4 linked regions of the Solanum lycopersicum genome follow. The protein of the gene in region 3 binds, or shares a complex with, the protein of the main gene of each other region. Links are inferred from orthologs where the notes say so. Each region holds a gene or a part of one and is shown on either strand. Other genes may lie near its edges. The genes, in order: carbon catabolite repressor protein 4 homolog 3, carbon catabolite repressor protein 4 homolog 5, carbon catabolite repressor protein 4 homolog 4 and carbon catabolite repressor protein 4 homolog 6.

Region 1 (4,918 bases), on a different chromosome or scaffold from region 3:
CATAATTTCTTTATCTAGAATTCCTTTGTGACATGTACTATGTGAGTTTTATGAGCAAAATATATTTGGCTTAAAATTTCAACTTTATCTTATATGACTTTCAATTTCATTTCACATGACCAAACGATTTGAGAGGAACAGAATTTTATATGGACAAAGACGTTGGAACTAAATGAAATTTGTTGCCCACCCAGCTAACTAGATGCAAATTGCAAACCCAGGAAGAAGTACTTCTCATCCTGTTAGCCAAGTCTTGATAACATCTCATTAGGAAGAGAAAATTTTGAGATCATAACGTTGCAAACTTGGTTTTGTGAAAATTTTGAGATCATAACGCTGCAAACTTGGTTTTGTGTTGACATTATTACATATATGTTCCTAGTGCAATGCAGAGTTGCAAACAAAAACTTGAGACGATATTAAAGGTACAGATTTGTTCAACGATTACATATTCATATGTCCGAACAATGAGTTCCCATCATCTACGCTACAACAATCATTTGTAGGTAGTATAATTCTAGTCAACAGCGGATAGAACATTGCATTTGCTTAGTAATCACAAACTATACTGTCATGTTTTACTCTCAACTTAATTCATGCAACTCTGTTTGACATATGCAATATCCAGTTTGTTTCCCATGTTGTCTTGAACCTGCATGCCATGATGAGGAGTTTGTTTAACAGATGTCACCTTTAACTGATAGACGGTCTTCAGTTGCTCCAATAACTTCCAAGAATGCAAACTCAGAAACCAAAGCCAAGTGATCACTACCCAATTTCTGCGGTCCAGAAATTCAGATCAAAATTAGCTTTAGAGAAGAACTCAACACACAAAACATCTCAAGGAATATATCAAACGTAATGAGATCTAGGAGTGCTCTTATCCGGCTTACGAAATAAACCTTTACTGGTTCACCACAAAGAAAAGATGTTGTGACAATGGTTCTTGATGGCTGAATCTATCCCAAATGTGCAATCAAGCATTAGGTCATTTACTGAGTTAATATCTCAGATGGTCACTCAACTTCAACTTTCAATAGTTCTTTTAGAAAATCACTCAACTTAGAGTAGTTTACTTGGAAAGTCACTCAACTTTGTGTTATAACTCAAAAATCACTCAATTACAAGTTTTTCATTAAGAAAGTCACTCAACTATGATATTTTACGTAGAAAGTCACTCAACTAATTTAAATGTTTTAAAAATTAAATTTTGCTAAAATACTATTTTTGTTTTAAACTTATTTAAAAATTAATAAGACACTCTTAATTATTTTACTAAATATTTTAAATATATAATCTTTTGAACTATTTTTTTTTAAAAAAAAATAAGATTGCTACAGTTTTTTTTTTTTTGGATTCTTAACTTCTTGATTCCAACCTTTTATAAAAAATAAATAAATAAATAAATAATTAGAGTTGGTCAATAAGATAATTAAAATAGATGTTTTATTTTAATAAAATTTAATGAAAAAAATATTTGAGTCGATTGAGTGACTAAATAAATGAAATATTAATAGTTGAGTGAAATACCAATAGTTAGTGACTTTCTAAGTGAACAATTCTAAGTTGAGTGACTTTCTAAGTGAAGTATCAAAGTTAAGTGACTATATGAGATATATTACCTCCTCATTTACTAGATGTTTTAACAACCTTATTAATGTATTTGCTTCTTTTGCATAATCTAAGACGTTCTTATTAACAACATCAAGTTACTATGTCAGAAGAACAATACCTTGTAGGGAAGACCACCTGTTTTCTTCAAGACATTAATTGGTAAAGTATCTAAAACTTTTGTGGGTGCAAGACCATCAGAATACCTGCATGTGGAAGATTTTACTTTAGTGCTTACTCCCTTCAATCAAGTTAGAAGAAAAATATGAGTAGCAGTTGTAATCAACATCATTAGTACCACAAATAGTCAACAGTTCCCAGAAACTTCGAGTGGAAAGATGTGGCTAATGGTTCACCACTGTTATCCCTTGTTGTTAGAGGTCCCTAAGAAGAAGGAAGAGGTAGCGTCTGCATAAGAGGAATATACAAAGAAATAAACAAAAACTGTAGATAGGAAGGACAAGCCTTACCTTCACCATCGCATAAGAACTATTTAGCTTCAAAGGGTGCATAGCTATGTGGGATTTAAGGGCACCAATCGCAACATTTATCTCCTCATCGCTCCATCGAGAATTAAAAAATCTGAAGTCAATTGCATGCACACAACAGAATTCTTCATCAGAATCATATGATAATACAAATAATTTAGTTTTCTCACAAGTAAACCAATTGATATCAGAAATCTCAAACATAAATGGATCAAGAATCAAACACACATGACAATGTAGGAAGGGCATTAATAGCTGAACCCAAATAAAATCAGCAACAACCAACATAAACAGTTGGAAGAGTTATACGTCTTTTATGATTATTAAATATTTAAGCCTTATGTAAATGGTTAATTTCATATCTCCATTTTTGTTATATTCTATCAATGTGACGAAGTCTTATCCCCATAAACAAACTTGGTGATATAGTGAAGTTGACCAAAACATAGGTAACACGCCCATAATTTTAAGGGTTGGGCTCAAAATAATTTGAATTGGGTTCAATCTCAACCCGTTCAAGCTTAACCCATTTGAAGAGAATTCTCAATTGAGCTCAATTCAATCTCCAATTTCAATCCGTTTTAAAACTTTTTCTTAAGACATGTTCCTATATCGGAGGTATGAATTATTGTCTATTTAACATCTTTTAGGATTTATCTATCCATTTGTTACTTTTTTAAACAAATAATTCTTGAGGGGAAATTCAAATTGTGATTATAAAAGTCAAATATCAATATGTTAAATTATTGAGATCAATCGGGTCAAATTGGGCGGGTCAAGACCCAACCCGTTTTTTTAGCCCATTTGAGCCCAATCCATTTGAGTCCAAAGTAAAATTGGGCTGGTCAAGACCCAGCCCGATTTCTATTCAACCCATTTTAATATTTCCAATTTCAACCAACCCGCCCATTTGACACCCCTACATTATAGAGAAGTTGAAAACTGAGAATGAGGATATAGAGAAGATTGTCATGTTAAAAAACACCACATTGTTTTCTCACAAAAAAAAACTGAAGCAACTTATGACCCCCCTTAGGTTTTATGAACACTCTAGCTATCTGATTTATAGGAGCACATAGACCTTCAAAAGATATAATAAGTACTGGAAGATCCTTGCTTCACCTGTCCATTAAAACAAACAAAATCCCCTTTTCTCTTCTCAGACCAAGAACTTGAGAGGGATGGCATAGTCTCTGACCAGATAACTCTTTTCGGTTATGTAGCATTAGATTGAGCTGCTATATCAAAAACAAAACCTTTGAGAAGCAAACAATTCAACGAAAAAGCATGCTGATCATATTACTTAAGAAGTACTTTAATATTGCATAAAGGATACAAAATTGGGATCTGGCATATTACCTCGGATGATGACAAGAATTTGTAGATTGGACTCTGTCACAAGGGATAAACAAAGAGGCATCGTTTCAGCAAGTAATTTTTAAAAATAGAAGTCAATAACATACTTCGTAAAGATATATTTCAGCTATTCACACCTGGGGAGTACTATTATAATCACCTGCAAGCACAATAGGTACATGGTCCCACTTTTCTGAAAGTATGTGTGCCCTTGATGCAAGAAAACGAATCTGAAAGGAAGAATTTAAGTGATAAGTTACCACATGGTGACAAACTGGAGCAAATAGCAATCCTTGGTACCACACGTCAATCTGCTGACAGTTGGGAATTTAAATAGTTTATGTCTAAAGTTAAGCATGCCATCAGAAGAGGAAAAACACACATTTTGTAGCAAGAACTAGATTTTTCTCACCACAATGTTGCACACTTATTTCACATGGAACATGAACAAAGATTGAGAGATCTCTTTCTATACGGGAGTTTGTTCAGATGTCAAGTGGTATGCTGATGAAACATGATTTGAAGTTCAAGTATAAACAGTTGTCCCTAGTACGACGCATTACTTTCTGCCTCATACACTCCATAAAGGATGTCAAAAACCGTGAAAGAGTTGATGTTTAACAGAAGAAGCAGGAGAAGGAAGATAAAACAAAGTGTTTGAAATGTGTCCCATTTGCATTAATGTCAGGACAGATTAAAGAAAACGATGCAATTGAAAGTAAGGACTAATCTAAACAACAATTGAGCAAGCTGGGAGAAATAAGAACTAAGAATTGGTCGAGCCAACCGGCGTTGCCAATCTAAGGATAAGTATTAAAATAGATCAAGTGTTAAATCATACCTTGTGTATTTCAGATGGAATAGATAAAAGTCATATGTAGTCTTTATGGAATAATTATATTATAGGTCTAAAGTGTATTAGAGAACACAATATTATGTGAGTTGTTACGTATGCACTATGAATTTAATGTTATTGGGCATAAAATTGTCGATATTATTTAAAAAAAATCTTGAAAATAACAATGAAAGAGATAAAGGCTTGCAAGTAATTAGTTCAACAACTTCAATCAAGCTTGAAAAATAACAATACAAGTAACTAATTAGAAATTAGAGGTATAACATCATCTTAGGGGGATTTTTCTCTGAAATCACATTAGGAGAATGCCCTCACCGAAGGGGTGTCAGGTAGCCAGCCTATCCTAATGAAAGCAATAGTGATTGTTTTCAAGGTTCAAACTTGTGGTCTCTAGGTCACACGAGGAAAACTTTACTAGTGATTAAAGGCTCTCCTTCCAAGTTCCAAATTAAAACATTATATATGTAAATAAATTAAACCATTTTTATTTTTCATTGATCTTTAGATTTTTTTTTAATGAGAATTTTTTTAAAAAAAAAATCTAAAGATAAATGAAAAATATCAATGATTTAATTTATTTACATATATTTAACAAAAATATATCTTT
Region 2 (5,649 bases), on a different chromosome or scaffold from region 3:
AACTGATTATTTCTAGTTCTTTGAAACTTTTTCACTACAGAATCACCATTTGAAACCAGTTTAAGATTTAGTTCATAAAATTTAATTTCAAATGAAGAGTTGATAAGTTTAGAACAACTAATGATCAAGCAAAATAAACAAGGGAAGTGCTATGCAAGCTTTAAGAATCCTAATGGAGACGCTCCTTACAAAAACAAATAGTGAGAGAGAGATGTTATAGGACAGATAAAAATGTCAAAATAAAACTATTGGTCCTAGAACCAAATTCAGTGACAGTCACACCACTAGTCTTTTTTAAGGAGGCAGATGTAAACATGCATCAGCCATCAGGTGAAGCGAAGACGCTTTAGTAAGGATTAAGGAATTTAAAAGTTAAGACCAACCCCCAAGCAGAATTTATCCTGCTTTATTCAAATTAAAGGGAAAAAGCTTCCAAGCATAAAAGAGACGAAATACCATTCAGTACAGCGTGCCTAAACAAAATTATAGTTTTATTTGGAAGGGGGGTTTAAAAGGGGTGGAGGGGGTGGAATATTGGTGCTGGCAGTAATATAAAAAACCAAGTTAACGGAACATTCGTCCAAGTGTTCAGTGACAATACTATTATCCAAAGTACTAGTTGATTCGTCGTAAAACGATCAACCATTAGTTGTTGCTTAAAAGTTATACCTGTCCCAATTTGATGTCTCCACGATTGGGGTTGTAGAGTACATGAATATTGCCAACCAGAAAGCTTGGCGAGGATACACTCCTAACCACAAACATTCGAGCAACCATAACATATTGACCAGAATTGAGAAACTGAAACTAAAACTTACATAAACTAAGTAATCACAGCATCATACAAAACTCAACATTTGAGAATAAAATAAAATAGAGCAGACTTACTCCGAATTTGAAGCACTCACATCCTTGGTTGAACTTTTCACATTCATCTAAAAGTTAATTAAAAGAACTACACATCAAAGTAGACCCCATTTGAACATTAGAGTAAAATAAACTCTTTGCGACCATCTTGTAGTGTGCAGGGGAAATAAGAACAGGCTTGCATGATAGTCTAAGAAATTTCATGCAACATCAATGTCCAGAACAGAGATGATGAAATGATATATCCTGTCATGTCATAATATGTGCAGCATGTGTAGAGTGCATTCATGTAATGACATCACACCGTTATTCTGAGATTAGTAGCCTATTCTTTAAATAAGATTAAAAATGCCTGATAAAATGAAGCTTAGCATGCAGTTGTCTCAAACAGAGAGTAAATCCAGAAAAAGGCATGTAGTCACTGCAGCAAGCTGATTTGTTTGATCAGCTGATTCTGCTAAGTACAAACTACCAAAAGTAACATTGTTTAGTAACTTATCAAAATAATCAGCACACTGGAAGTGCCAAAGAAAGATATCAAACAAATTAAAAGAGACCAAAGCCTCCAATAAATAAGGCACATCATCACTACACTGGGCAATATTATCCCTAGTGCAAAACCCACCCACCCCCCAAAAAAAAAAAGAAACTAATAATGAAATGCATGGCAGATTTACCTTAAAAACACAAAGTTGGCAAACATTATTGCGTAGATTAAAATTCTGGAATTCTATGCTCTCCTCATGCAGAATGTCAAATCTGTAACCAGATATATTTGTAAATTGGAAGTAGCATAAATTAGATAAGAAAGAAATGGAAACAATTAGCAGCAGACAGTTTTCAATCTCCGTAGACGTAGCCAAAAATGACGAGCAAAAACTGCAGCTTTTGCCAGCAGGTCTTCATTTCCCATAAAAAGAACCTAGCTTAGTAAGCAGCAACAAAATCCAAGAGAAATTAAGAAAGAATCAAAGACCATACAGCTTGTTGTTCCAGAATATTGCACAGCCATCGCTTGCATCACCTGTACGAGCCTGGTAAAGGAAAAAGAAAAACGCCATTTGATTAAAAAATGTGACAAAGAATTCAACATACAGGTCATCCATAGAAAAGTTCCACTACATTAGACCTGATAAACCCCTTTAAAGCCCTCTTTCTGGAGGAGATAATCTAAATCATCAAAACGGTCAACCTCCTGCAGGTTTACAAGAAGAAATAAGTTCCTCTAAAATGGCTGAACATCTACACAATGTGTTCATACAGTAATTCAAACAGTCTCGGCGAGAAAATAGTGAAACAATAATTTCATTTACAATGTTTTTATTTGGATAATCGAGAAATCAGTTGTTTTCAACTTCCAACTCTATGAATAATGCATCCGAACCTCTATCACACTGAACCAAATCATGGGTGTATCTTTTAAGAATAAATATACAGTAGGCTTTCTTAACTTCTTAGCTCTATTTTCCTCTCCTTCCCTTTTATGAAGAATAAATATACAGAAAACTACAAACTTTGAAATTAAAAGTTACCTGGAAACACATTATATCCGGATTATAGTCCCTAATTTCTTTGCATATGAGCTTCTTCCGGTAGTCCCAATCCAAATATTTTGGAGAGACATTGCGGTACAGGTCCTCATGTGCTGCTGCATTTTTTACCCCTAGTATGTTATACGACATAAGAATAACTCTATCTGCAAAATTAAGATGATTATTCAGACACAATAAAGGCGGATACACATATGCCAAATTCAAAAAAAAATACTGTATATGATTGCAGACACATTAAAGACTACAAATAGAAGAACCGATGAAATTTCTTATCAATTGACAATCGGTAACCTTGATTTGGGGAAACGTCGTGAGTAGAGTAAACCCACTTGCGTTTATCATCTGCAATTGCCCTCTTTGCTTTTCCTTTATGCCGTTTTTCTTTGCCCCTACTGTACGAGTATGAGTACGAATTTGCATATGAATGTGTATAAGAAGTAGAAGTATGATTTAGGGTTACGGTTGCAGATTCAGTCTCAGTTTTACGTATTGATACTCTTTGCTTCTTCTTGCTACGGTGTTTACCGATATCATGTTGACGAATTCTACTTTTCATTGCTGAAAATCGAGAAGGCTGTTCCGCCGGTTGATCTCTGCCGTCGCCGGTTCGGCCCATGTTGCCGGGAGATTTGAATTTGGGCGGCGCGTGTTTAACCTTTTACAGGACGAATAGGGATGGAACTAAAAGGACATGAATATTTTCGCATATTAGAAAAAAATTAAAATTCTCCAAGTTATCTGTAAATAATGACAATTAAAAAAAATCCTTTTGGCCAAAGTTTGGTTAGAATAGTATTTTAAGTATTTTTAAGATTAAAAAAATATTATTAATATTTAAATTTAATACAAAATTTTCTATTTATTTATGGCATAACTCGAGAATTAATACCTTTATTTTCAACTGGAATTAAGTCCTTGCTTGGTGTACGGTGTACCTGCTACCTACACCGTTTATCAAATTTTCCCAAATAGTTATTATAATAAATATAATTATTTTATTTAATAATAGTTTACATATTTATGAGCTTTAGCTATAATTTAAGGTGTTATAAGCGATCTCATTTATATAATTCGCGAGTATATTTATATAATTGAGTCATTTTCTTTTGTATTAATATAAATTGATTGATATTAATTGATTTGTGTTTATCTTTGTATAAGTTCGAAATAACAAATTAATACAAACACAAACATTTGAATTTTAAATACTTACAAAAATTATATTATACAAAAATTGTACAAAATTATATTCAAAAATCTACGCGCTTATACAAACTGAAAAAAGCGAGTGACATAATTATCACTAATATATGTAGTGATTAGTTAAATAATACATATTTGCTTAATCGCATAATTTCACTTTATTAGAATATGATTTAAAATAAATGTACATAACTTTTAATTTAAAATTTTTAATAAGGAATTAGCTGGTCTTCTCTATAACTTTACTAGCAATCTTTTTAGGGAAAATTATATATAATAACAAACTAATAACTTAAAATAAATGGAGTAGCTAGTGTTTGATTTAATTGGGCTCCATAACAAGCGTTTGTAAAAAATTGTCAGGCGCCTCTCTCCCAATATCTCGCTCGCCTCCCTCCCCAATCTCTCGCTCGCTTCCTCACTTTTTATACAAATACAAGTGTAATAAAATTGTTTCTAATTATATATAACAGAGAAAATTGTATAAATACATATATTTTTGTTCCTCTCTCTCTCCCCTCTTTCAGATCTCGCTCGCCACTCTCTCAAATCTCGCTCGCCACCCTCACCTTTCTCACTTATACAAACAGAAGCGAAATGTATAAATTGCGTTTTTGTTTGTATAAAGCGTGAGAAAATTGTATATACACATGTAAATACATATATTTTCGTCCTATACACTTATGACTATACAATAAAAATACTCCCCTGCCCTGTTTCTTTTGCCTTTATCTCTTTCTCGTTCTATACAATTTTCAAATTGTATCTAATTTTTCTCTTTCTCGTTTTATACAATTCGATCCAATTGTATATTCCTTGTCAAGCCTCTTTTGCCTTTCTCTCTTTCTCATTTTATACAAATTCAAATTGTATATAATCATTCTATAAACTTATAATAATACAATTCGTTTTATACACTTCGTTTTTATATAGTTTTCTGCCCAAGTGTCTTTCTCTTTCTTGTTTTATACACTTCGTTTTATACAATTTGCTTTAACTGTATATGTATAGCGAATTATACATTTTCTATGTTTGCTATAAGCGCAATTATGCAAACTTTGCTATGACATACTAAATATGATTTTTTTATTTGCTATATGTGAAAGTTATCCATCTTTTTAATTCGAAACCTAATTATTGTCTTGAATTCCTAAATTAACTTATTATTTTTTAATTGTTCTAACGACACCTTTTCGTTATACATAGTTTCTCTTAATATTTTATTATTTGCTTAAATTTAAAGTACAAGTTATTAAAATATGAGTTCTTTTAATGTAAAATATTTGATATGAGTTTTTTTATTGGAAAATATGTGTATAAGTAAATATATACTAGTTAGTCAATATATGTATTTTATGTGAATTACAATTTGTCACTTATTTTTAGCTATAATAAGTGTTCAATTTTTTAATTTTGTATAATTCACATGTTTGTATGATTCAAAATTTGTAATAATATAATTTGGATAACTTTTGTATGATATGATTTTTTTAACTGTGTACACTTTTAATGTTTGTAATTGTATAAATACGTTATTTTGAGTTTATAAAAAAAATTAAATTATATATATGTTCCCGCAAATTATACAATGTAAGACAACTTAAACTGTAACTATAACCCATAAATATATAAACCATAATTAAGTTTATTATATGAATTATTTGCGAAAGTTCCCTTATATTAATATAAGTTGAGGACCTCAATGTTGAAATGTTAAAAGAGATTTAAGAAATACTCTATTATCACACTTCATTGCGCACAAGTAGAAAAAAAAAAGTAAAAAATGAGAAATTACAAATTTATAGATGTTTTAGAATATAAACAATTTTTTTTAAAAAAAGCCAATCAAACGGAAAAAAATAAATGTATTGTTTCTATCTCTCTTTATATAATATAATATAGATATAGATATATACTCCTCTAATGAGCAAGATTTTCTGTGCTATCACTATCGTTTTGCTCTTCACTATTAACTTTTTGTATTGTAACTTCATTATCATCATTTTCTTCGTTTATTGCTAGTTGA
Region 3 (4,918 bases):
TTATTATAAGTTTCTTATCTACTAAACTTTTTATAGAATTATCTATTTTTGATTTCAATACATAAATGTTGCTAATTATTAAATTAGAAGCCTAAAGGGAAAAACCAATTCAAGAGTAGCCCATTTTCTATCTTAAAATATGTCCAAAATTAGCTTGAATAACGGCCCAAATCCTCTATATAGCCCAACCCCAATGAAACGCGAACCCTAGATTCTTTCCTATAAATACAACCTTATTTTTCCATCAAAGGCTAGGTTTTGACACTCCTAAGGAAACCATTCTCTTACATCTACATATCATCCCTCAAAGTATTTTCTGTTCTCCTCCCCGTTTTGCTCAACTTTATTTGAAAAATGAGTGTAGAATTCGAGACCTCAATGAAGCCCCAGTTACTGCCCTGTGGGAGGTAAAAGCTGACTCCTCTGTCACTTATTTACTTTCTTTTAGATCAAAGTGTTTTGTTTGCTCAGAAATTTTAGTGAAGGTTGTTGTGGGACTTTTTTTATGACAAGGGAAACCCGCAGTCGCTACCCTTTGGGTGCGCAAAGGATAAAATCCCAGCTCCTATGCAATGCTCGCAAATCATATAGGAGACGCAATCCACACCAGGACCCAGAAGGGCAAGGGTTTTGAACTTGAGACCTCAAACATGAAGTCTCGAACTCAAACCACTGGGCCAACCCGAAGGGTGTTGATATGGGAATTTGTCTGCTAGGAAAAATCTAGAATGTACATTGTTGGGTTATTTGTGGCCAACCATGAACTTTTTATTTTGGCGCAATTGGGCTGCAACTTATTAGGTTAAGTAATTTAGTGCCCGCTTGGATAAGTTTAAGCAATTTATAAATCTATAGCTAAAAGTCATAAGTAGGATACCCTACTTTTGATTTATTTCAAAACTTTTTTGGCCTAGAGATGAATGTTTTAAAACACTTCTTAACTTTTTCAAATACCTCCAAAACTAAAGAAGTGCGTAAAAACCAAACATAAAAATAAGCTAATCCAAACACCCCCTTGATTGGGTGCAAGATTTGGACTAGTTTGTTTGATGGTATTTTTCTTCTTTAAATTGATTTTTTTGAGCTTCTAATTTAATAATTAGTGCAATATATCTTAACCATTGACAATAACTATATAAAATGTATAATATTTATAATTAATTTAATAGGTATGAAACTTATAATAACAATAATACATATAATTTTAAGAAGAGTGAAAATGATAACAACAACAATAATTAACAAATAGTAAAAATATCATATAATATATAACAACAGTAACAATAGTAATAATAAAAAATAGTAGTGATCATCGAATATTTGACTTATCAGTAATTTAGAAGCTCAATGAAATGATTTAGAAGAAAGGAGTAACAAAATTAGGTGTCAACAAGATCCACGTTACTTTCCACCACATTTGTTTCATTAACTATAATTTTGTCAACTTCCACCACCTCATCGCCTAGCACCCTTCCGCTTAGTATAGTAATGACCATACAATGGGCACCATTTCCATTATCATTCTATTTCACTGTATCACTAGGAAGGGGACCCTTTTCTTTGATTGAGCGAAGAAGATATTTGGCTAAGTTAAGACTGAAATTGGTTAATCGAAGTTGAGTGGGAGTTGACCACCCAATGTTTTATAAGCCATTTTAACCTTTTCACATTTGTGTCAGTAGACTCAACACTCTTGAAAGTGTCTTGTGGAGTCACTAGTGGACAATGGGCTACCTCTTGGAGGAGCATAGGTGTATAGGCTTCGATGATTGTAACCTTTGTTCTGGGCTCCTTGGTCCTTGATTTCTTGAACCTTGCCTTGAGGCTTGGGTTAAGATCGATACCAACAGTAATCCAAATACTAAAATTCCATGACCTTGATTGGATCCATGGTAGTTAGGGCGGGACCCCCCTACTTTGTTATTCACTATATGAGCCTCATTTTCAAAATCTTGATGACACTCTTCATTTCGGACCCCACATCACTTGGCCCAACTGAATTCTCTTTTCGGGTGCTAACTCCCATAGCATGCCTGGTGAGCATTGCCATTCCTATTGCTCACCTAACCATGTCGCTATTGTACCCCACAACCTTGTAAAGTATGCAATAACTGAAGAAATCTCCATGGGTGACAGTAAAACTATTCCTATTGCTCATACTTATTCAACTCTAATTAGGCATCTAAAACTACTTCTAAGCTTTTTGACACATTTTGTGCTCCATCAATGAAAAAAATCTCATTTTTGTAATTAAGTTTTGTCAATATAACCTCACATCTATTTAATTCTTTGTTTTTACTTGTGTCGGGAAGCACTCACGTACTCTATTGACCAATACACCAAATATACTTGGTTGTATACACTTACAAATGAAAGTGAGGTTGTGTCAATAATCTAAAGTTTCATCCTTTAGTTGAAAATTTCTTCACTTTGTACCGTCGGAGGGGGTGAGATCATCGGTCTTCAGCCCTATCTTGAGATAAACATGGATTTGAATCCTTAATTTCACCTCCTACGCAGGACAACGTGTTGCCATAGCTGAACGTAGGCATCGTCATATTCATGAAACCAATAAAACCAGTTCTTCATGGGAGCATCCTTACCACCTGAATTTTGGTCTTTTGCCTATCTTTATGTTGTCTACCTTACTAATCGACTTCCCGCTCCAATCCTGAATAATGCACCGCCCTACCAAAATTTTTTTGGTTGATAAATATAGAAGCCACCATAAACTGTTTTTCACCTTTTCCTTACTCCGTGCATCGCATAGGTGTCGACAACACACCTCTCTTTATATCACCAGGTACTTGAGGGTGGTAATAGATACTGAAAAAGGAAGTTCAGGGGGTTTATACAAACACCCATAGTTTGTGTAAGTTGTAAATGGAGCCAATACTAGGGGCTTCTTATCTATTATCTCCTTTTATCTTTTGATTGGAGACTTCATTTGCTTCTTCTTTTCTTGGTTTACAATATCTACAGAACAATTCATTTCGCCAAAATGAGCACAACACCTGCACCTCTGTCACCAAAATTTGTTCCTGCTGAAAAGAGTGGAATTACTTCAGTAAGCAAATCAGATGGTAAGTGGATTATTTAACTTTTCTTTTTCGTTTTTGTATGCTTTTGTTGTACAGCTGGAGTTAATGTTTTACTTTTTATCAATCGTTGCAGGTTTTAAGTTCAGTTTGGTATCATATAACATTTTGGCTCAGGTAATCCGACCATGTTCAAATTTCTTGACGCAATTCATTTATTTTATTATTTTTATGAAGTATATGCAAGTAATACTTCAGTAAAGGAAGTTAAGTGCTGCTTTCCTAAACTATTGAGCATCCTTATATGGCTAATACACTGTAAATTGTCTATCTTGACTTTGAAAATCAAATAAAAAATGTATTTATTCATCAGCCAAAGTACTCTTGTAAACTTTGTGAACATGTCACATCTTGGACAAACAAACAAATGAAAGTCAGAAGAGAGTGAGAAATCTGATCCTAACAAAAAGAATTCGAGGCCTCCCTCTGCTCGCCTGTGGTTGAACCACCGTGTTAAGTAGAGCATACATATCTGGATAGGAAAGCCATTATTGATGCACACATTTGCTGTTAATTAGTCAAGTGTACTACTAACATGCTTGGTATGTCCTTTGATTTGTCTTTTAGGACTATAGTGCACAATTCAAGTGATGTTATCTCATACCTTGAGACTTGTATTCTGAGATGTTAGTCAGTTCTAGTTTTTCTTGTTACTGATTCAAGCCATTTAATCTATTGAGCTGTATGGATTCTGTTTGCTGATATTTCGTTGTTCTGAGATTTTTTATTGTAGGCATATGTTAAGGGTGATCTGTTTTCACACTCCCCAAGGCCTTGTCTCAAGTACGTCATCTATATCCAAGTTTTCATTTTTGCATTTCTTATACAGAGCCTGTCGGATATTGTTTCTCTTCTCTTTGGAAAGTCCAATGCGATTTGATTACATGTTTGAGTGGACCCAAATTAACTTGTTTATAATGCCTAAGGCCTTTATGGAATTCTAATATGATTGTTTCATGTTGCATTACATTAGTATTATATTCCTTGCCTTCAAGACTGTTGGAGAAATGCTTCAAGACTTGGAGTCAGGAGCATATGACTTTTATTGGATTTTAGTAATTCTCTAAGCTAGTGTTAATAGAAGATACATAGTCGTGTTTTAGTCAATTTTACTTCTTTTCTCTTCGAGTATTTGAAGAGCATCTATTGTAAAATTTATTTCCAAAGCATTGTGACTTGAAGCCATGTGGAATGAGCCTTCATTGAGACAGTTTTCAATTTCTTTCTTTTACTCGTAATTTCAGAATCAACATTTGTTAAGTGTTGTGTTAGGTGGAAAGCTCGTTCACAGGCAATCCTGACAGTTCTCAAGAGCCTTGGGGCCGATTTCCTTTGCTTACAGGTTTGGATTTTTTGATAATTTAAGATTGAGCAATATACAGTCATCCATTTTCCTTCTAATAACAACTTCTACAGCAAAAGGTTGTGGTGAAGTGGCATCATTAACTGGAGGAGGGAGGGAATAAGGTTGCCTTTGGCAGGGGATGCTTTACCCCAGAAAGTGGGTTTTCCTGACGCGTATCCGTAATAGTTGGGCCCTAAAGTTCATACCTGAAACCGGGAGGGGAACTTTAAAAAAAAAAGAAGAAAGGAACTTCTAATTTCTTCTAGGTTATATTTTAATCAAGATTGTGTTATGTGCCAGGAATTGGATGAATATGATAGCTTCTACAAAGGAAATATAGAGAGTGTTGGCTATTCAAGTATCTACGTCAAAAGAAATGGGCAGAAGCGTGATGGATGCGGGATCTTTTATAAGCCGGATAGGTGACCATCTATTCTCTCTTCTTTCCTTAACCTCTATATCTATAAGTGAAAGA
Region 4 (4,918 bases), about 3.4 Mb from region 3:
AAAATGTTTTTTGTTTATTGATCAAGTGTTTTGTACATTTGTTCTAGTCATGCCTTTGCAGATATTTGATACTTTTAGCTGTTACGTCTGTTCTTCAGTGGCTTTTATCTAGCTTCTCTTTTATGGATTTTATGCAGTTCTTACAGGCTCTATTTTTCTAATAGTTAGTCCTCAAAATTTGTCGTCCTTCCTTGGCAATCCTATAGCACTCTGTTGCCCATATATAAATGAATTAAGGATTGATAAAGTGTTCTTTATGGAGGAGTGCTAACAGCATAATACTTCTTTCTGCACCGGCAAACACAATCAGCCATTCAGTCTATCATGTTTTAGTGTGTATTGTTTCCTTGATAAACTAATCACATTTACTTCCCTCATTCTATGATCAATGTTATTCTTTCTGCATTAGCAAACATAATCAATCACATTTTAGTGCATATTGTTTCCTTGATTAACTTGTCAGATTTTACTTGCCTTATGCTATGATCATCATCGTTTGAACTTCCACGAATATCAAAATTTTGTCCCTATAGTTCTTATATTGTTAGTATTTTGGCTTCCTGGTTTCCACAGATTTGTATCTTTTGGCAGTTCTACACCTAATATTATATGGACAAATGTTAAACTCTTGTCGTACTTCATTGCCAGTGATGGTTGTTTTCTAATGACAACTGCTGGTCCATATATGATATATCATTTCTGGTAAAAACATAGTCACTGATTTTGGCTGTTTGAAAAGCTTGTATATAAGCTATTGGATATATTGTACTGATTTGCATAGCAATGAGTTACTTTGATGTGCTTACTAGCTTCAGTGATTCTTAACTATGTGTCTGTTCAATGTAAACATTGGTGTCACAGAATCCAGTCTTATGTTACATCATTGCCACTTTTGTAGTGTCTCTGGTAATGTGCATTTCTATTGGTGTGAATTCTGTACTATAGCTAAGCTGGAACTTGCTTGATATGCTCGCGGTCATTTAAACATGCTGGTAGTCATTTCTAGACCTTTGGCAAATATAATTTGGCTGTATGTCTAGAGATCCGCGATTCTGGCATATTAATTACTTTTGCTTGATTACTCTCAGATCCTCAATGCACTATTCAATGATTTGTGTTATCATCTTAATTTTAACCTTTTGGCGTATATTTTTTGCAAGATGCAGTACGTGTGATGACATCTAACTACTGGTCCACGATATTATCTTGTCTGAATTTAATTTAAATTTTTTATGTTAGATTCAAATTGGTGCATGAAGAATTTGTTGAATTTAAAAAGTTTGGGCTTCGGGATAATGTTGCCCAGATATGTGTATTTGAGGTGCGTAAATTCTTCTTAAATATTTCATCGCTTTACTGTGGGTATCTTCAAGTTCAAAACTTGCTTTTCTGATGTTGTGTTCATCTATTGCTAACAGTCTCTTGGTCAGCAAAATAAGAGTTCACCAGCTCCCTTAGCAAGGTAGGTCTTCTTTGTTTTGAGAGTTGCACTGTATAACAACTTACTCTTGAATGTTTGATTTGTACCTTATCATTCAAATATCTGTTGAGGGCTTTCTTATTTTTTTCCTTTTCCCCAACTAAATTATTGCACTTGCAGCACTGGTCACTCCAGTAAGGTTGTAATTTGTAATACTCATGTGCTTTTCAATCCTAAAAGGGGAGATATTAAGCTCGGACAGGTACTTATTGTCAATTAATACTGTCTTTTCAATTTTCATCAATGTGTGCAATTTATTTCGAAACAGCTATCCAGTACTTGTATATCCTTTACTTGGTAGTTATCCAATCACACTTTACTCTACTTCACACATTAGCAACCTGCTAGATTGTAGTCATTGCTCATATATGTATCTTTACTGATTTCCCTGTGTGCTAAAATGCATTTAAAGAGAAACTAGTATTTATCATGTTTCTGTGATAAGTGAATACAACCTCTGTTTATTAGAGGAAAGTGCCCCCTCCTGTCTCGCCCCGTTTCCATCCTACTTCCCTCATTTAGTATAGCATACTTGGCAGATCTGTCTCGTTTGTTTACTCATAAATTTGGTTTGCTTTCAATTCATGATTGACACAACTTCTTTAGTTTAGCATTTTTAGATGCAAGGGAGATACCACTTGATTGGATTCAACTCTTCTTCTGTTTAGTGTAAATAAATTTTGTGACAACCAGGTTAGGGTGCTTCTGGATAAGGCTGGTGGTGTTTCAAAACTTTGGGACAATGCTCCTATTGTAATTTGTGGAGATTTTAACAGTACACCAAAGGTGGGTTCAATAATTCCCATCGAAGCGCTTATGACATGTTTTTCCATCAGTGCATATATTCTACTCTTACTTGCATGTGAGAATGTTATGTTGTGCAATAGTTCTGTTCATCTTTTTACACTTCCCAGAATCCATGCAATAATTCCTTATTCTTCTTCTCCTTTACCAGAGTCCATTATACAACTATCTTGCCGAGGAAAGAGTAAGCTTCAGATAATATTTTCTTTCTTGTTGCTGCCCCCACTCCTTTTCTTCTGTGCCTTCTCTAAAGATATGATGATTTTGTGCTTTGGAATGCATTTTGGATATTTTTTTCCCACAGCTAGACTTATCAGAAGTGCCTCGGGATAAAGTGTCAGGACAGGAATCAGCTACAATTTATACAGTGAAGCACAGCTTCAATGCTAGTGCTAGGTAACGACTTCTTACCTTGTTAAAAGAAATTACGTTAAATTCATGGAGACTTTGTACTACATTGTTTCCTCCTTGACCTTTTCTTCTGAATTCCTTGAAACAGCTCATGTATAATCCTACAAGTTTTCTACTTCAATATCATTGCTCAACTACGCCCCAATCCCTAGCTATTTGGGGTGGACTATATTAATCCATCCTGTATATCATTCTTCTCTATTTAGGTCCAGTACATTTCAATACTTGTATATAATGTATTTTTGATGTAAATCAGTGACTTTTTAAAACTAGAGGTTCTAAAATTCACTCTTATTGCTACACTGGCATACAGGTATTTAATCAAATTAGAAAGACTTTTGACAAACTCTGGACTTCATGCAAGTGTAACAACTAATGATTAATCCCTATAGTTGGTATTGCTAATATGGATTCTTTGTTTTTTCTTTGGCTAAACTAAGAGATTAACATTGTAGGGAGATGTCATATTATCATAGTTGTAAACCTCTCAGCTCCATTACAGAAAAGACAAAAAAAAAATATTTTTTAGCGCCAGTACATGAAGTCTATTCTAGAGCTTAGGAGCTAACAAAGTCCAAAAACAAGTCAAACATTAACATGTGTGAGAAAGCTCCAACTGAATAAACAAACTGAACATTTCGCCTTTGTTAATGTGGATCCTTTGCTTTCGTAGTGTTCTAGAGAGTTTGTGGGCCATTCTAGAAAATTTAGCTCCATATGATTTTGGTTCGCCTTGTCCTTTTGGTCTTCAAGGCTCAAAGGATCATTGTACCATCACACCTATAGGCTGGTTCATTCAGAAGTTCACTAAATATATCAAGTTATCTCAAGCACCTTCTGTCATTTTATTCTCAATGTGCTTTACTTGCATTCTCTGTCTGATCTAATCATTTCTAGTTTGTCTATTACTAAATACTCCCTCCGTCCCATTTTATATGTCATCTCTTTCTATAAATAGTTGGTCCATAATACTTGTCATTTCATTAAATCAATGCATAAATTAGCATATTGTTCCTTTTTTACCCTTGTGAGTTATTAGCATTGAAAACATACATTGGACCAACTTAGAAAAGTTAAGTAAATGATTTATGTTCATTGATTAAATTAAATAATCAAAATAAATTAATTCATATTCATTGATTGAGAACTTGAGTTCCAAAGAAGGGTAAAATTACATCATCTCTTAATGCAAGTGCAAGGTAAAAAGATGACATATAAAGTGGGATGGAGGGAGTAACTTACCAAATGCGGTGTCCATTTTTTCTGAGGATTTGAATTTGGCTTGTAGGGATTGCAGTGAAAAAGAATTATAAAATGCAAGATCATTATGGGCTGTCCACCGGTCCTTTCTTTGGATTTGTTGATCACATATTCATGTTGAGATTTAAGCACGGACCTATTAAAAATTGTATTTTGAGTTTCTATATTTTATATTAAGGAAGGATCTTATGTTCTTTCTGTAAATGAAGGAAGATTCACATTTACTTCTCTCTCTGATCTAATCATTTCTAATGTTGTGTTTTGGATGCGTGGGAAGCCCTTAAATTAAGTATTTAATTATTATTTTAGTAGCTTTATTTATTATTCTAGAATAGGGTTTATGTTACATAGTTTTATAATGATTAGGTTATGCTAATTTGGAATCGTAAGAATTAGACTTCCTATTGATGTGATAAGACTCCTATTTAAAGGGGATTTTGATGAATAAACTGGTATGTCATATTTCAGTAAAAAGCAAAAGATTGGAGTTCTCTCTTCCATTGAACTCTAAGGTTTCAGTCTCCCTTCAATGAGCTAAAGTTATATACAAAAATAGGTCGATCTAGGAATTCGAACAAAGGCAAGGGATAGTCGAAGTCCATTGATTTAGATTTTCTTACATAGTCCTGTGACTCAATCCTTCTCTAAAAATCCTAACATGTTGTCTTCTATTTGATAAATAACTCACCAAAAGTGGGGCCATTATTTCTGAGGATTTGAGTTTGGCTTATAGGGATTGCAGTGAAAAGATAATAAAATACAAGATCATTATGTGTTGTCTATCTATCATTTCTTTTGATTTGTTGATCACATATTTATGTTGAGCTTGAAGCACGGGCCTATTCAAAAATGCAATTGGGTTTCTATTTTTTTATCAAGGATCTTGTATTTTTTCTATTTTTGATTACTTTCTGGATCCACCCTTGATGTTTCTAAAACTGGATTTCTCTTTTGATACAACAG

Evidence for each region.
Region 1: carbon catabolite repressor protein 4 homolog 4 (region 3) and carbon catabolite repressor protein 4 homolog 3 share a complex: the UniProt entries of both Arabidopsis thaliana proteins name them as parts of the CCR4-NOT complex. The link is inferred for Solanum lycopersicum from reciprocal best matches to the Arabidopsis thaliana genes AT1G31500 and AT3G18500.
Region 2: carbon catabolite repressor protein 4 homolog 4 (region 3) and carbon catabolite repressor protein 4 homolog 5 share a complex: the UniProt entries of both Arabidopsis thaliana proteins name them as parts of the CCR4-NOT complex. The link is inferred for Solanum lycopersicum from reciprocal best matches to the Arabidopsis thaliana genes AT1G31500 and AT1G73875.
Region 4: carbon catabolite repressor protein 4 homolog 4 (region 3) and carbon catabolite repressor protein 4 homolog 6 share a complex: the UniProt entries of both Arabidopsis thaliana proteins name them as parts of the CCR4-NOT complex. The link is inferred for Solanum lycopersicum from reciprocal best matches to the Arabidopsis thaliana genes AT1G31500 and AT5G11350.

What each region holds. Positions count from the first base shown.
Region 1 is NC_090802.1:65,109,789-65,114,706, reverse strand, and holds the end of carbon catabolite repressor protein 4 homolog 3, read right to left. Parts: intron 3,686-4,918; coding exon 3,593-3,685; intron 3,492-3,592; coding exon 3,459-3,491; intron 3,338-3,458; coding exon 3,222-3,337; intron 2,194-3,221; coding exon 2,082-2,193; intron 1,996-2,081; coding exon 1,910-1,995; intron 1,818-1,909; coding exon 1,733-1,817; intron 780-1,732; coding exon 678-779; 3' UTR 310-677; downstream 1-309. UniProt on the Arabidopsis thaliana protein: Acts as a catalytic component of the CCR4-NOT core complex, which in the nucleus seems to be a general transcription factor, and in the cytoplasm the major mRNA deadenylase involved in mRNA turnover.
Region 2 is NC_090802.1:64,981,644-64,987,292, reverse strand, and holds the start of carbon catabolite repressor protein 4 homolog 5, read right to left. Parts: upstream 3,278-5,649; 5' UTR 3,037-3,277; coding exon 2,712-3,036; intron 2,564-2,711; coding exon 2,400-2,563; intron 2,063-2,399; coding exon 1,997-2,062; intron 1,902-1,996; coding exon 1,849-1,901; intron 1,768-1,848; coding exon 1,545-1,767; intron 936-1,544; coding exon 889-935; intron 808-888; exon of another isoform or gene 752-807; coding exon 670-751; intron 1-669. Other genes in the region: B3 domain-containing protein At2g32645-like, read right to left, coding at 5,642-5,649. UniProt on the Arabidopsis thaliana protein: Acts as a catalytic component of the CCR4-NOT core complex, which in the nucleus seems to be a general transcription factor, and in the cytoplasm the major mRNA deadenylase involved in mRNA turnover.
Region 3 is NC_090807.1:61,302,389-61,307,306, reverse strand, and holds part of carbon catabolite repressor protein 4 homolog 4, read left to right. Parts: exon of another isoform or gene 1-354; coding exon of another isoform or gene 355-407; intron 408-2,982; coding exon 2,983-3,083; intron 3,084-3,174; coding exon 3,175-3,215; intron 3,216-3,831; coding exon 3,832-3,881; intron 3,882-4,370; coding exon 4,371-4,440; intron 4,441-4,743; coding exon 4,744-4,865; intron 4,866-4,918. UniProt on the Arabidopsis thaliana protein: Acts as a catalytic component of the CCR4-NOT core complex, which in the nucleus seems to be a general transcription factor, and in the cytoplasm the major mRNA deadenylase involved in mRNA turnover.
Region 4 is NC_090807.1:57,876,744-57,881,661, reverse strand, and holds part of carbon catabolite repressor protein 4 homolog 6, read left to right. Parts: intron 1-1,239; coding exon 1,240-1,321; intron 1,322-1,418; coding exon 1,419-1,462; intron 1,463-1,600; coding exon 1,601-1,682; intron 1,683-2,173; coding exon 2,174-2,266; intron 2,267-2,435; coding exon 2,436-2,468; intron 2,469-2,588; coding exon 2,589-2,680; intron 2,681-4,918. UniProt on the Arabidopsis thaliana protein: Acts as a catalytic component of the CCR4-NOT core complex, which in the nucleus seems to be a general transcription factor, and in the cytoplasm the major mRNA deadenylase involved in mRNA turnover.